Linked DNA regions of Diceros bicornis minor. The protein of the gene in region 2 interacts with the protein of the main gene of each other region in a biochemical or structural test. Links are inferred from orthologs where the notes say so. Each region holds a gene or a part of one and is shown on either strand. Other genes may lie near its edges.

What was found. The genes of interacting proteins can lie anywhere in the genome.
Region 1: the proteins of SHQ1 (region 2) and DKC1 are reported together in a solved structure, tested with the Homo sapiens proteins (2 studies listed by BioGRID, with this or other methods). The link is inferred for Diceros bicornis minor from reciprocal best matches to the Homo sapiens genes SHQ1 and DKC1.

The regions. Positions count from the first base shown.
Region 1 is NC_080781.1:139,221,024-139,228,692, reverse strand, and holds the start of DKC1 (H/ACA ribonucleoprotein complex subunit DKC1), read left to right. Parts: upstream 1-4,666; 5' UTR 4,667-4,748; coding exon 4,749-4,764; intron 4,765-5,535; coding exon 5,536-5,603; intron 5,604-6,016; coding exon 6,017-6,103; intron 6,104-7,669.
Region 2 is NC_080741.1:70,968,745-70,976,670, forward strand, and holds the start of SHQ1 (protein SHQ1 homolog), read right to left. Parts: upstream 3,017-7,926; 5' UTR 2,911-3,016; coding exon 2,768-2,910; intron 2,221-2,767; exon of another isoform or gene 137-2,220; intron 1-136. UniProt on the Homo sapiens protein: Required for the quantitative accumulation of H/ACA ribonucleoproteins (RNPs), including telomerase, probably through the stabilization of DKC1, from the time of its synthesis until its association with NOP10, NHP2, and NAF1 at the nascent H/ACA RNA.

The DNA of each region.
Region 1 (7,669 bases), on a different chromosome or scaffold from region 2:
AGATGTATGACTAACATCCTACTTAATGGTGAAAAACTGGACACTTTCCCCCTAAGATTGAGAACAAGGCAAGGATATCTGCTCTCACTACTCTTATTCAATGTAGTATTGGAAGTTCTAGCCAGTGCAACAGGGCGAAAAAAAAAAAAAAGAAATAAATAAAAGGCACACAGATTGGGAAGGAAGAAATAAAACTGTCTCAATTTACAGATGATATAATTGTCCTCATAGAAAATCCCAAGGAATCTACAGAAAAAAGTCCCATATAATAAGTGAGTTTTACAAGGTTGCAGGACACAAGATCACCACATAAATCTCTTCACACAATTTCAAGGCTTATTATACAGCTACAGTAATCCAGACTGAGTGATATTGGTAGAGGAATAGATATAGATAAATGGAATGGAATGGAGAACCCAGAAATAGACCCACATAAATTCACCCAACTATTTTTTGACAAAGTTACCTTTTGTACCTTTGAATTGCAAAGGTACAAAAGCAATTCAATGGAGGAAGGATAGTCTTTTCAACAAATGGTGCTGAAGCAATTGGACATCCATAGCCCAAAAAAGAAAAAGAAAAAGAAATTTAACCCAAACCTCACACCTTATACAAAAAATTAACTCAAAGTGGATCATATATTTATATGCAAAATGTAAAACTATAAAACTCTTAGAAGACAACATAGGAGAAAATATTTGAGACCTAGGACCTGGTGATGAGTTCCTAGACATGATACCAAAAGCACAATCCATAGAAGAAAAAAATTGATAAACTGGGCTTCATAAAAATTAAAACTTTTGCTCTACAAAATACCTTGTTAAGAGTATAAAAAGACAAGCTACAGACTGGGAGAAAATGTTTGCAAATCGTATATCTGCCAAAGGACTCATAACAAGAATACACAAAGAACTCTCAAAACTCAATAGCAAAAAACAAACACTAATAATCCAATTAGAAAATGGGTAAAGGATATAAAGAGACATTTCACTGAAGAGGATATACAGATAGCAAATAAACTTGTGGAAAGATGTTCAGTATCATTAGCCATTAGGGCAATGCATATTAAAACCACAATGAGATACCATTACATACCTATCAGAATGGCTAAAATTTAAAAAATCAGCAGAATCCTCACATTGATTTCCTGACCCATGGAATGACCCAATCACGGCAGAAAGGCCCAAGTGGCAACCCCTGGAGCTCCACCTTCCTACCAGAGTACAAATCAAAAGAAATATCACATACTTAGGGGACAATGTCAGAAACCAGTTCCATCATCAAAGACTTGAAGAATGCCAGGAAGGAAATTCCTGTCACATTCCCATTTAATTCACCAGTTTGGCCTTCACAGCAGTTGGTTGGGTCTTGCTGAATCTGGCAGTTTTAAACCAGGGCTACAAAATTCTTTGACACTCCTCTCATTGAGAGGTGGGGTTGATGACTCCTCCCCTTGAACCTGGGTAGGCTTGTGACTGCTTCAACCATACAATACAGCAGAAATGATGCTATGAGACTTTCAAGGCCAAGCCACAAAAGATTATGCAGGTTTATGCCTTCTCCACTCTAACATTTGCTTTTGAGCCTTGAGCCACCAAGTATGGAGTCTGACTACTTTGAGGCTGCCATGCTGTAAGGAAGTCCAAGCCACGTGGAGAGGCCGTATGTAAGCAGGTGCTCCTGTCCAGTGAAACTCAGCCTTTCAGCTGAATTCTCAGCATAATCAGAATCTGTCAGCATAATAAAATGGTTGTTTAATGACACTAAGTTTGGGAATGTTTTGTTATTCAGCTGACAGATTACGTCAAGAAATTCCAACAGGGCACAGTGAGAATGTCTTCTCTCTGCTCCATAATACCTGTGGTCTTAGCTGAGATGATTCAATGGCTGGGGGTGACCAGATGGCTGAAGGCTATAATCTTATGGAAGCTTCCTCACTCGTATGCCTGTTGCCTGTACTAGGATGCCTATTCTGGCTATTTCATATGAGTGGAATCATACAATATTTGTCCCTGTGTGTCTGGCTTATTTCATTTAGCATGATGTTTTCAAGGTTCATCCATGTTGTAGCATGTATCAGTACTTCATTCTTTTTTGTGACTGAATAATATTCCATTGTATGGCTATACCACATTTTGTTTGTCCCTTCATCTTTAGATGGACATTTGGGTTGTCTCTGCCTTTTGGCTATTGTGAATAATGCTGCTATGAATATACGTGTACAAGCATCTGTTTAAACATCTATTTTCAATTTTCTTGGGTATATACACCTAGGAGTGGAATTGCTGAGTCATATGGCAACTCTATATTTAACCTTTTGAGGAACTGCCAGACTGTTTTCCCCAGAAGCTGTACCATTGTACTTGATGGTGGAGTGCTGCTGCTCATGCCTGACTTGATAACTTGGTCAGTCAAACAATACCCAGTTCATGATGTGTAGCTCAGTTCTTAAGATCATTTGTATCACATAGTCATTCAGTTTCAGTAAAGGGCTAAAGCAAGTCAGGGGCTTTTCCTCCCAGCAAATTGTGTGTGTGTGTGTGTGTGTGTGTGTGTGTGTGTGTGTGTGTGTAGGTCTTAGCTTTATTTTTATCTCCAATTCCAGAGGCCTCAGCTGTGATTCTCTTATCTAGGTTTGGAAAAGGCTCTGTGTACCATCCTAATGGGTATGCCACCTCCAGAAAGAGGCCCACTAAGCATCGTGCTTCTTTCTTAGGAGGAGTGGGTTCAAGGTACAGCAACTTGGTCTTCTCTTCTGTCTGTCTGTCTTTGCCCTTCTCATCCAAGGACAATTGTCATTGGATTTGGGGTCCACCTGATGATCTCATGTCGAGATCCTTAACTTAATTACATCTACAAAGATCCTTTTTCCAAACAAGGTCACATTCCTAGGGTCCAGGGGTTAGGACATATGTTTTGGTGAGGAAGATTGGTTCTGAGCTAACATCTGTTGCCAATCTTCCTCTTTTTGTATGTGGGAGGCTGACACAGCAGGGCTTGATGTATGTCCCCACCCAGGATCCAAACCCACGAACCCCGGGCTGCCAAAGCAGAGCTCACAAACTTAACCACTATGCCAACAGGCCAGTTGGGGGGGCTACTCTTTACTCCACTACAGATGGGAAGCCACTGAAGGGCTTTGAGCAGAGGAGGAACATTACAGTTTAATGGCTCTTTCCAGCTGCTGTGTCGAGAAGACACTACAGTTAGAAAAAGTAGAAGCAGGGGAAACAGCAGATGGCCACTGGAAAAATCTAGGAGAGCCATAATGATGGCATGGACTACAGTGACAGCAGTGAGGGTAGTGAAAAACCATCAGATTCTGGATTTCTTTTGAAAGCAAAGCTGACAGGCTTTGCTAACAGATTGGATGAGGAGTATTGGAGAAAGATGAAGCCTATATGAGTACTATTGATGAATACCTCAAAATTATTCAGCCAAATATGTACCAATGAAGCATTATAAAATAATGGGGGAAGTAATGAACTCCAGATGGATTGGTTGATACTGGCGATTTTGGTTATCTACAAAATGTCAGTTTAGATGATTATTGCCTTGGCATACACCAAAATAAATTCTAGATAGAATAAAAAAGCTAAATAAGGAAAAACCAATCATCTATTTTAACCCCAGTAAAATAAAACTGAAAAATTTCTAATTTTTGGATGGCAAAGGAGGAACGGAAGAAAAGCAAAGTCATTGGAAAAGATAACGGCAAAAGATTCCATTTACAATCGCAATAAAGAATTAAGTAACTAGGGATTAATCAAGTCCACCGAGGCTAGGTTAGGAGCCCCCGCTTGAGAGAGAGAAGAGTGAGAAGAGCACCAAAGACAGAAGGGAAGAGGGCTTGAACCAACAGCTGCTACTTCCTGGCTGTCCAATACTGCAGCCACTAGCTAACTGTGACTATTGAGCTCTTGACATGGAGCCCCGTCGTGGAGTTCAAAGCGAGGTGCGCTGTAAGTGTAAAACACACACAGGAAAGACTTGGTACGAAAGAAAAAGAATGTAAAATATCCCATTCATAATGGTGTATAATGGTCGTGTTGAAATGTGTTGAAATGGTAATATTTCGGATCGGTGGGTTAAATAAAATTCATTATTAAAATCATTTTCATCTTTTTCTTTTAACTTTTTTTCCACGTGGCTGCTGGAAAATTGAAAAGCCCACAAGTGGCTCGCACTCTATTCCTATCGGCCAGCGCCGCTCTAGCTGGATGGGAACTGCAAGCAGCAGAGTGCTTTCAACTTCTCTGTGCCTCGACAGCTTAATTTTTCAATCGGGACTGATCCGACACCAACCTTCAACGGTCGGCGAGAGGAAGCAACGAGCTACTGCTAACAGAGCGCTCAGCCAAGCGTCTAAGTGCCCAAGACGGGCTTAAACGCAGCTAAGGTGTGCGAACTGCGGCCGGGGCCACGCCCACAGGCTACGGGCAGCAGGGGCGGCCTGCGCATGCGCTCCCAGGCTGAGCCGCTGGGGGCGGGGACGCGGCACAATGCGCACGCGCGTTCGCACAACCTCAGGGGCCCAGCCAGCCAATGAGATTGTGCGTGCGCGCTTCGGCCTCTGACCGCCCCCCCACCCCCGCAGCCTGGCCCCGCCCCCCCCCGCCCCCCCCGTGCGGTACGCACAGGGTGGCGCACAGGTGGGCGGGGCCTAGCGGCGTGGCCTGACGGCGGCGGGAGTCTGTGGTCGCTCTCTCGGCCGTGGCCCACGCGGCTGGCTCGCTCTGCGGGGCAACATGGCGGACACGGAAGGTAAGGGTCGTTCCCTCGCGGGTGGCCGGGTCAAGTGCCCCGGGCTGGAACCAGCTCCGCAGGCTGAGAGAGCCGGGAGTGGTGGGGTATGGCGTCGGGTCCCGAGTTCTCCGCTAGCTCCAGCCGCCGGGCCGACCCCCTCGCCGCTGGGCCTCTTGCCGCCCTTGCCTCTTGGCCCTGGCTCCACGGGGGAGGGCAAGAGAGCGAGAAGCCCTGGCGGTGAAGTGGCGCCGCGAGGCCGGGATCTCCCGCGGATGGCACAGCCCCCTTAGGGCCCTGGTCGTCGTCGGCCGTGCCGGCGACCTCGCGGTGGCGGGAGACCTGGTAGTATCTGTGCCGCCGCCGCCAGCCCGGACGCCGCAGTCAGCGCCAGGCGATGAGGGGAGGAAAGAATGGTGGGAACAGGCGGGAAAAAAAGGGGCGAGGGGCGCGGGCGTAGCTCTGAGTCGTAAGCAAGTTCTAGACGCCAAAAGCTCTGGGGGATAGTTGAGCACTCATTTATGGAACTTTCTGGCCCACGGCTCGAGCGCTTCTGCAGCACGTTTAAGCCCCGCCAGGGCCACGTGGTGAACCGGAATGGAAGCCGACACGTGCGACTGCTTGCAGTAGCTAACCGAGCCATGCAACCCACGCGTTTGGTCTTACACACTTTGTTTTCTCTAGTAATTCTAGACCAAACATCCATTTTCTACCTGCCCTGATTTCATTTTCTAATTTAAACTTTGTTGCCTTTATTTTCGGGGAAAACTTCCAAATCTTGTGTTTTTTTAGTATTTATTTTGCCGAAAAAGCATAAGAAGAAAAAGGAGCGGAAGTCGTTACCAGAAGAAGATGTAGCAGTGAGTAGGAATACGTTTTACTTTGCTTGGACTAAAAAATGTTCCTTAGATAACAAATTACAGAAAAGAACTGCTTTTAAAGGTTTCTAAGGAATGGGCTGGAATTGGTTGGTTGTTGTGTAGAAACTGCACAACCCCAGCCAACTTAGAGTCTGTCCGGTCAGGTGTAGTTTGCTCTCTCACCTGTAGACCCACCATCCCTCTTGCTCTTTAAATAGCAGTACCTATCTTGGTGGTACTTCACTTACCATTTTAAGATCCTAGTTCATTTCTTCTCTTTCCCATGGAGGTTCCAGGGAAGAAGCATAGACTACTTTGTTTTCTGTTTTAAAGGCATAGACTTCTGTGGTAGTAATGGAATTGTTCAAAATCAGATGGGAAGTCTAATAGGGTGTATTTTTGTCCTGTGCAAGGAAATACAGCATGCTGAAGAATTTCTTATCAAACCTGAATCCAAAGTGGCTCAATTGGACACATCTCAGTGGCCCCTGTTGCTAAAGGTATGTGGTTAAGATTATGCATCAGGTCAGTGCCTGGCTTTTACATTATGTCTAAGTGTTAAATAGTTAAGAGTGCTTAATGCCAGCATTGTTGACTTAGGAAATACTATATGATACAGTCTAAAGCAGTGTTCCTCAAGGTGTCTGGGATGAAGGACCAGGTTATTTTTTTTTCTTTTTCAATGGATCTAACACTGTTGTAGAATACAGTTAAGATGTCGCAGCAACGTCAAAGTGCTATCAAAGTTCATAAACAATTATTTCTTGGTTTCTGTACCTAACTCCACCTCACAGACCTGTACCAGTTTGTGGGCCACACTTGGAATAGGACTGCTTTAATACTTGAGAGCATGGGCTTTGAAGCCAGACCAGTTTGAGTCAGGCAGTATGTGACCTTGGGCAGTCATTTAACCTCTCTGAGGCTGTTTGCTCATATCTTCTCTTAGGAAGGCAAGCTGAGGGCTGCAGGAGGTAATCCATGAAAGGTGTTTAGCCACAGTGCCTGGCATGTAACATGTCCCCTAGAAATTATTGACTGTTGATTGGGTTTTAAATAGGGTAGTCAGTAATGAGGTGAATTAGAAGTTTCGCAAACGACTTAATGGGCACCTGCTATGAGATTAGAAGGACAAGTTAGAGTAGAAAAAGTTATTGAGACACCCCTTGACAAAGTGTTTTAATAAACCAATGGATATGAGGTAAAAGAGTGAGATTTGCTTATATAATTCAACACAGTTGAGTTTCTGCTTGGCCAGACATGTCTGCCATTTAGATAGCATCTGCTTTTCTTTTTTTTTTTTAACTTATTTATTTTTAATTTTATTTATTTATTTGTCCCCCAAAGCCCCAGTAGATGGTTGCGTGTCATAGCTGCACATCCTTCTAGTTGCTGTATGTGGGACGCGGCCTCAGCATGGCCAGAGAAGTGTTGCGTTGGTGCTCGCCCGGGATCCGAACCCGGGCCGCCAGTAGCAGAGTGCACGCACTTAACCGCTAAGCCACAGGGCCGGCCCACATCTGCTTTTCTATTGTAGGCCCTGGGGATATGCTAGTGAACAAAATAGACAATGTCTTTACTGTCGTGAAACTTAAAATCTAGGAATGGGAGAGAGTTAAAAAATAATTGCTATTTGTGTGTAAGTACCATGATGAAACTAAACTGGGTGATAGAAAAGATGGGCTTCAATTGAGGGGAGATCTTTCAGACCAGTGGTGTCCAGCCTCAAGCCTTGGAAAGGAGGAGAATGAAAAGGAGCACAGATCGGAGCATCTGAAGCAAGAACAAGTTGGTCATGTTTGAGAAACATTGTTGCCAGTCCACCTCAGTTTGGTTATCTTGTCCCTGAGAAAATCAAAGCTAGTCCATATTTTATTCATAAGGCCGCACAGTGAAGCCTAGTCTGTTCTGTAGTACCCCAAGAAGTCTCTTTCTAGAGGAGTGATCAAATTTGTCTTATTCTTACTCATAATGGGTAATTTTTCCTGAATATAAGGAGGCTTAACAGTGTCACAGCAGATAATTAAAATATAGGAGCAAAATCCAAGTTTATGAACTTGAAGGGTAAC
Region 2 (7,926 bases):
CCAGGGTTACTGAGAGAAGGAGATGATAATACAAAGAGCTTACTGGCTGGTACAGTTGGTGAACATTCAGAAGATGTAAGCTGTTATTATCAACTCCCTTCTCCTAAACTCTCTAAGTATGGGGCTAGATTCTTACCGTGTAATAGTGAACTCATATTTGTTCACAGATCTGCCTCCCCTGTTAGACTCTTGATTCCTCAAAGAGAGAGGCGAGATTTTATTAATCTTTCGTGTACTGTAGCAAACTGCATTCTCAAAGATGGCCCATCTCACATCACTCCTCCCAACAGTGTGGTCTATGTCCCCTCCCCTTAAAACTGAATGGGCTTCTGGAACTGTTTTAAGCAATACAATAAAGCAGAGATGACACTGTGATTTCTGAGGTTAGGTCATAAAAGGTGATATAGATTCTGCCTTGCTCACTGGGAATACTCACTCTCGAAACCTTCAAGCTACCCTGTTAGAGGTCCAACTCCTCAAAGGAATCAAAACTAGACCCTGCAAAGAGACCACACAGGGAGGTCCTGAAACTACATGAAGAGAGGTGCCCTCCTCCCTCACCCCACTAGTCCCCAGCTGCTTAGGCGCTTGTGGTTCCAGGTCCTGCCACCATGTCACCACAACTGTATTAAAGACATCAAGGCAGAACAGCCCAGCCAAGCCCTTACCAAATTCCTGACACACAAAAACCAGGACAGGGAGTTAAATGATTGCTGTTTTACATCTTCAAGTTTGACTGGTTATGCAGCAACAAATAACTGGAACAGCAGGCCCTTAATAAATACTAATACCTACTATTTATTGAATGCATGGTTAATTACCAGCCATGATAATAAGGACTATGCAGGCACCAGCTCAACCCTGACATCAATTCTTTAAGATCACAAATATTAGTCCCATTTTATAGATTACGAAACTGAGACTGAATTACTTGCCCAAAGTCATAGAACTGTCAGCGTGCCAAGATCCAGTTGTGCCCAATTCCCAAGCCTCTGCTACCCAAGGAATGGACAAATCTGTGAAGAGAACTCTTTAAACTGTTTCATACATAACCTCGTATTCTGTCTTCATCAAAACTCCCCAACTTACACACAGTGGCTTTTACTTTGAAATTTTTATTTTATTGTACTTATTTTATTTTACAATCCTATCTCATTTAAGAACTTTTCTCTGAGCCTCTGATTTCTCATCTGTAACATGAGTAAATAATAGAACATACTTTGTAGGATATGCTAAAACCAAACGAGATAATCCACATAAAGAATAACATAAACCTGGTGTAAAAATTCAATAAATATTTGCTATCACCATCAACATCTTCTTCCCATTCTTCATGTCTTGGCTTAAATATCACCTCTTCAGAAAGGCTTTCCCTGGCCACTTTAGATAAAAACGGGCTCTCTTTTACTCTCCCTCAGTGCACTTTATTTCTTTTTAGAAATATGTTTATTTCGTTTTAGTTATATGTTTACTTATTTGTTTACTATTTTTCTCTTCCCACTAGAATGTAAACTACATGAGGCCGGGACGGCCCCGTGGCTTAGCGGTTGGGTGCACGCACTCCACTGCTGGCGGCCCGGGGTTCGGATCCTGGGCTCACACCGACGCACTGCTTCTCCGGCCATGCTGAGGCCGTGTCCCACATACAGCAACTAGAAGGATGTGCAGCTAGGGCTTTGGGGGAAAAATAAATAAATAAATAAAATTATAAACCACATGAGGCCCCACTACACGCCCAATAACAAAAACAGAGCCTAGTATATACCATGAGCTTGATAAATAAATCAAACAAATAAATGATTAAAGAAATAGGGAAATGCAGTATATTTTATTAAGTAGGTGGATTACATTAGGTCCTAATGGCAATATGAGCAAAACCGGTTGAGGCCCAGTGAGGGAACCAGCTTGACTCAAGAGGAAGGTTTGTATTAGGAAAGTACTGGGCAGGAAAGGCCGGCTGGAGCTACACTTGAACGCGAAAGATTAGGAGAAGGGATGTTCCCTCGTAGGAAAGGGGTGGGGGCAACGGACTGACAATGTTTAGGACGAACTGTGTCCTCTGTAAAATGGGGCTAACGCCTACCTCCAAGAGTCACTGTCAAGATTAAATGAAATAATGCACATAAAGCACTTAATGCGTTGCTTGTTCGCCCCATGGAAGGTGAGCAGTAACCGTTAGCTGTTACTACTATTGTTACGGTTTTCCAGGGAGAAAACGCAGACAGACAAGCGCTGAAGGCCCCTCACAACCACAATTAAGGGACAAAACCAAACAGAGAAGTAGCAGACGACGAGGAGGCAGGAGAATGAGGCTACTTCGGTGTCAAGGGGGGTCAAGGAAGGCGAGAATTTCAGGAAGTAGGGAGCGGTCAGCCAAGAGGTCAATAAACAACGTGGACTGAGAAAAGTCAAAGGGACTGGGCAGCCGGGAGGTCAGCGCACGCTGTGCCGGGGCAAGGAAAAAAAAGAACAGAAAAGGAAGGTGACATGGTCCCAAACGCCAAGGTTTTAAATGGCTCCGAAATCTCTTTAATGTGGGAATTTAAGAAGGCTTCAAAAGGCAACGAGCTTCTGCAGCATCCAGAGCGCACGCCTGGAAGAGGGCACTTCCTCAGCACCGAAAGAAGCCGCGGAGATCTCGGAAAGGGCAGCCGTGAAATAGAGACGCGCTCCCTCGCCTTTTCATCCTCCCTCGATAAGCAGTCATCTAATGAATGAATGAATCCCCAAAATACGCTCTTCCCCTGGCCGGACACCCAGAACTCGCCTGAGAAAGTACGGCTTGGCGTAGAACTTAAAGTCCACCCCCTCGAAGTAGACGTCGAACTCGGAGACCCGAGCGTAGGGCACGCGGATGGCGACAGTCAGGAAGTCGGAGTCCTGGCTGAGGTCGAAGGCAGGGGTCAGCATCACCGCACCGGACTCAGGTGCCCAAGTCGGTCACTCTCACTGCCCCCGCAGTCCCGCCACTCAAACTCTGCAAGAAGCCCCCACGCGCTGGTACCTGTTCTGTTAGCCACGGCGCTTCCGGATAGAGGCGGAAGTGCTCGTGCGTGAGAGAGGAAGTCCCGCCCCACGCCGATCTCCATGGAGACAGGACGCTGTTAGTGGAGAGGTGGAGAAAGGGCGTGGCGAGTGGGGCTTTGTGCGCTGGAATTGAACCGAGGGCGTAATTTGGAAGAACCGGGACAAGAGTCCGCCTGAGACCCACCAAACGTCTCTCGAGGTTCTTAGAGATGATTTTAACAGGCATTGGCTTTGCAGATAGACCTGCGGTTCATGCCTTCTCGGCCACTTCCCAGCTGTAAGACCTTGGAAAGTTCCAAAACCTCTCTGTGTTTCAGATATCTCTCCTATAAAATGAAGATCATACAAGAACCTAGCCCCATAGAGAGGTTGTGAGGATAACATGAAATTATGAATGTAAAGCTCTCACAACGTACCTGGCAAGTCGTCAGTGCTAGATGTGTTCGAGCAGTCACCGCAGTAGCCACAGCAGCGTTACTGCGGTTTTCCTTAGTTCTCACCTGCCTTGTCAACAATTCCCCTTTCTCCCTCTCCGTCCTTCTCTGCCGATTTCTCTCTCCTCCCTTTCCCTTTCCTCTCCTCCTCTACATCCCTCTCACTCTCACTCTCTTTTTCTGCCACTTTCTCTCTCCTTCCTAATTCCTTATTTGAGTAGAGTTCTCTCGTTTACAGCGCGTCCATCCCACTAATCTCATTTAATCTGCGCTACAAACTCCGACGAACACGACTCGGAGAGGTTAAGCAATGTCTTATACTCATGCATTTTACAATTATCAGAACCCAGAACGTCCGACTCTTAAACCCTGTTGATGCCTGCAGTGACAAACTGCAGTGCCTCTGTACTCGCCCCTCTTTCGCTTTTCTCCCTCTTCTCCTTGCACTTGTTCAAGGTCCTCTTTTTTGTCTCTTTTCCTTCTCTTCCTTGCATTTACCCCCTTTAGTCTGTGCTCCTCGTGCTTTCCCAATGCCTCTCCCACTAGTCTCCCTCTTCCCCTACATATTCCCTTGGCCTTCCTTCCCTCTTATTTTATTTCCTTTTATTTCACCAGTAACTAGAATAGTCCAGGAAATAGTGTTTATTTCCTGGCTTTAAATGTCAATGGAAAAGGGGTGAAAGTCATCTCCTGGGACAGTGGACCAGATAACCTCAAAAGCCTTTTCAACCTCCAGTTTTTAATGAGTCTTGAAAATTAATTAGGTCTCAGAAAAGCATATTAACAGGAGCAAATAAAATAAAAATTTCAAAACAAAAACCACTCTGCTTAAATCTGAGAGTTTTGGTAAAGATAAAATAAGAGGTTATGTGTAAAACAATTTGAAGAGTACTCTTTACACATTCATCCAGTCCTTGGGTAGCAGAGGGATTAGTTGAATACTTACTATGTGCCAACACTGCACCAAATCCTTAATAATGATCTCATTTTCCCCTCCTGATAGCTCTATACAGTAGGCATTACATATCCCCATGGTTTGCACAAGATTACATAGCTAGTGAGTGGTGAAATGGGAATTGAAACCCAAGTGAGTCTGATTCCTGAACCCAGGCTCTAAAATATTACAGAGCTGACTCATTCTAATATTACCACCTACCCAACTTGTTCACATTCTGAGATCAAGACTCCTTGCTTGGGCCGGCCCCATGGCTTAGCGGTCAAGTGCGCGCTCCGCTACTGGTGGCCCGGGTTCGGATCCCGGGCGCACACTGACGCACTGCTTCTCCGGCCATGGTGAGGCCGCGTCCCATATACAGCAACTAGAAGGATGTGCACCTATGACATACAACTATCTACTGGGGCTATGGGGGAAAAATAAAAAAAAAAAAAAAAAAAAAAGACTCCTTGCTTTAGACCATACTGAGCCTTACAAATAATAGGCATTCGATATTGAAAATGAATTGGTGCAAACTTGGAATTAGTAAAGCTCTCAAAAGGTCTCTTGAGATAGGCCTTTGGCTGGATCATTCCAAATTAGCTCTAGAAAGAGTCTTTACATCTGGCATGGGACCTCATTCCTGTAGGTCACAAGCATTAATATTTTTAAATTATTAATGCCAGAGAATTAACCGAGGCTAAAGCTGAGCTATGCATGAGGAAACGCTAATTGAAAACAGTTTACAAAGTAGACTGTGCACTTCCTGGACATTTTATTCTGTTTGGCAACACACACACGCACACACACACACACACACACAGGATTACAACACATAAACAGACTATATGGTTCATTGCTGCTGTTATTTATAAGAAATACATATTGCATCTGCTGTATCACAAGATACTGATAGTTGTAACTATATAACAGGGCTTTCTTGTTTTGTTTGTAAGCTATAGTTCACTTTATTTTTGTATTTCTAATTTGTGGTAAATTACACAAGTTATAAGTTCATTCTCTTTTTAAAAAAATAGTTAAAGTTCCCTTGACTACTGTCCAACTTTGATCCTCTCTTCTGCTTCCCCAAAGGTAATCCCTCTGGCCACCCTTGCAGACCTTTCTATATGTCTATATACATTTCTGGGTACACTGTTACTTTATGTTTGTGTGTGCATGCATGGGTACATTATCACACTATAAATGTCAATCTGCAACATTATTTTATTATTTTCCTTGGATACTTTCTTAGACATACCAATATTGATTCATAGATCCAGTTGAATTCATGTTTCTAGATACAGACATTGCTTAAAAATAAATACAGTATTTCAAAATTTCATGTTAACTCTGCTTCAGAGGGAAAACAAACAGGAATGAAATTTTTCATCATTTTTTGAGCACTCTAAGTTGTATTTTTTGTTTGTTTGTTTTTCCATTTCCTTAAGGCTTACTTTTGGATAGCTTTTCACTATTTTGAAAATAGTTTTTTCCGTGGCCAATTTATTGAGGACAAGTATATAACCTACCATCTTTGATGAGATTAAATTAGCCCCTCCTCTGGTCTAACAAACTTGATTGTGATCCACAAGATTCAAAATTAAACGGTAAATTTAAAAAATATTTTCTATAAACAATTCCAATTTCAGCCTTGTTACCAAGTTCTATTGTGAGAAGTCTTTTAATGGTGAAATGCTCCTTGTTTCCAGAAGGTGGCATGCGTATAGGTGAGTAAGACTGTTATCTCAAAGAACAGAGTTTTAACCTCGGTTGGAAATAGCTTCCTGAATAAGCTGTTTATAACTCTAGTTCATTCTCTGAACCATTTTGGGGAAGTGATGGGATCTTACAGAGAACGTACAAACTACACCTTAACAACTGTTACTATTTTGATATACATCTTTTCAGAGTTTTATTCTATTCATAAAAGTATAGAAAGATTTTTAAACAAAAATGGTATCACACTCTATATTTTCACTTTTTCCACCTAATGTAACATTACAATATTTCCATTTGACTAATTTTTTTGTCAAAAATATCGTAATATAATTGTCTCCTTCTTATTTATCAGTGTTAGGATTGTAAGTCTTAAGAGATCAGGTAATGATTCACTTTGAGAGAGAAAAAAATGAAACTAGTAATAGCATCATAAACATAGATCACAAAACTAAAATAAAAATACAAAAGTTAGGATACAAACTAGATAACACATTTTGAAGTTTGAAAAAAATTATCCTTTCATATAATGGTAGCCAACACAATGGGACTAGATATCCTGAGTTTTGCAATTCCAAGTTATAAACTGTTTCTAAGAGGGCTTGGATGAATTCATGGATAACTTACAGATAAATACTGGATTGTAAAAGAGGTTTAAGGGATTGTGACAACAGGATATAGACAGTGCAGACCATGAGTCTGACACTGGTGTTTTTTAAACCCCTTTATAGTTAAGTACAACTATTTTTTAATCTTTGCACCAATTCTTCACCCCATTCAAGTCACAGTTATTCAAGAGCGCAGTGTTGGCAACAACATAACACAGTAATGGGTATTTCAGGTAGGTTTTTTTCCAATTCCAATTTACACAAGCTCAATAAAGTTCTGAAGAAAATCTGAAAAGGTTATAGCTGACTCCAGTAAGTTTTTTGACAATGTTTTTGTGCTGTGTGTAGCTAAGGGTTTAGCAACATATATTTCAAAATGCTAGTTCCATTCCATAGATGAAATGCAGGTCACATGGGAACGTTAATGACCAGCATCTCAAGTTCCCTTCATTGTTTAACATCACATAACTAAAAGATATCTACAGAATGTTCTGTTCTGATGCCCTGACCACATGCCCTTTACAGAACCAGGAGTCCATCTGGCACTAGTAGCGAGCGCTGTTAATGGCTTGCCCCTGACTCTTTCTCCAAAGAATTGTGCTAGCCCAGAGTTTCTCCACCTCGGGTATTTGGTGCCAGATAATTCTTTGTTGTGGGGGGCTATCCTGTGCATTGTAAGATGTTTAGCAGCATTTCTGCCCTGTAATTTCTCAGTGCCAGTACCAGCTCTGCTGTTTTGACAACCACAAATATCTCCAGACTTTGCCAAATGTCTCCTAGGGGACAAAATTGCCCACAAGTGAGAACAACTGCTCTAGATTGATGGGATGCTCCAGGAAGCAATGACCACACCACCACCCCCTCCCCCAGACCCACAACTGTGAGAACTGATAGGAGTGACAGAAGACCTCCTTCAAGGGACAGATGACCCCAGTGTGTTCCTTATAGGATCAGGCCAAGGCTTGATTTTCCCCAAGCCCACATCCTTACTCAGCTCTTCCCCTTTCCCTATCCTTCTTCACTTCCTCCCTTACAGATTTCTCCTGAGAATGCCCCTCAATAAATCACATGGATCCAAATCCTTGTCTCAGTCTCTGCTTCTAAGGAACAGAAGCATAGGCCTAGCGCACCTGACCTATAACCACACCTTCAGGAATCCCTTAGCATTCTATATGCTCCTGCAAAACTGCTTAAGTATCTACAGTAT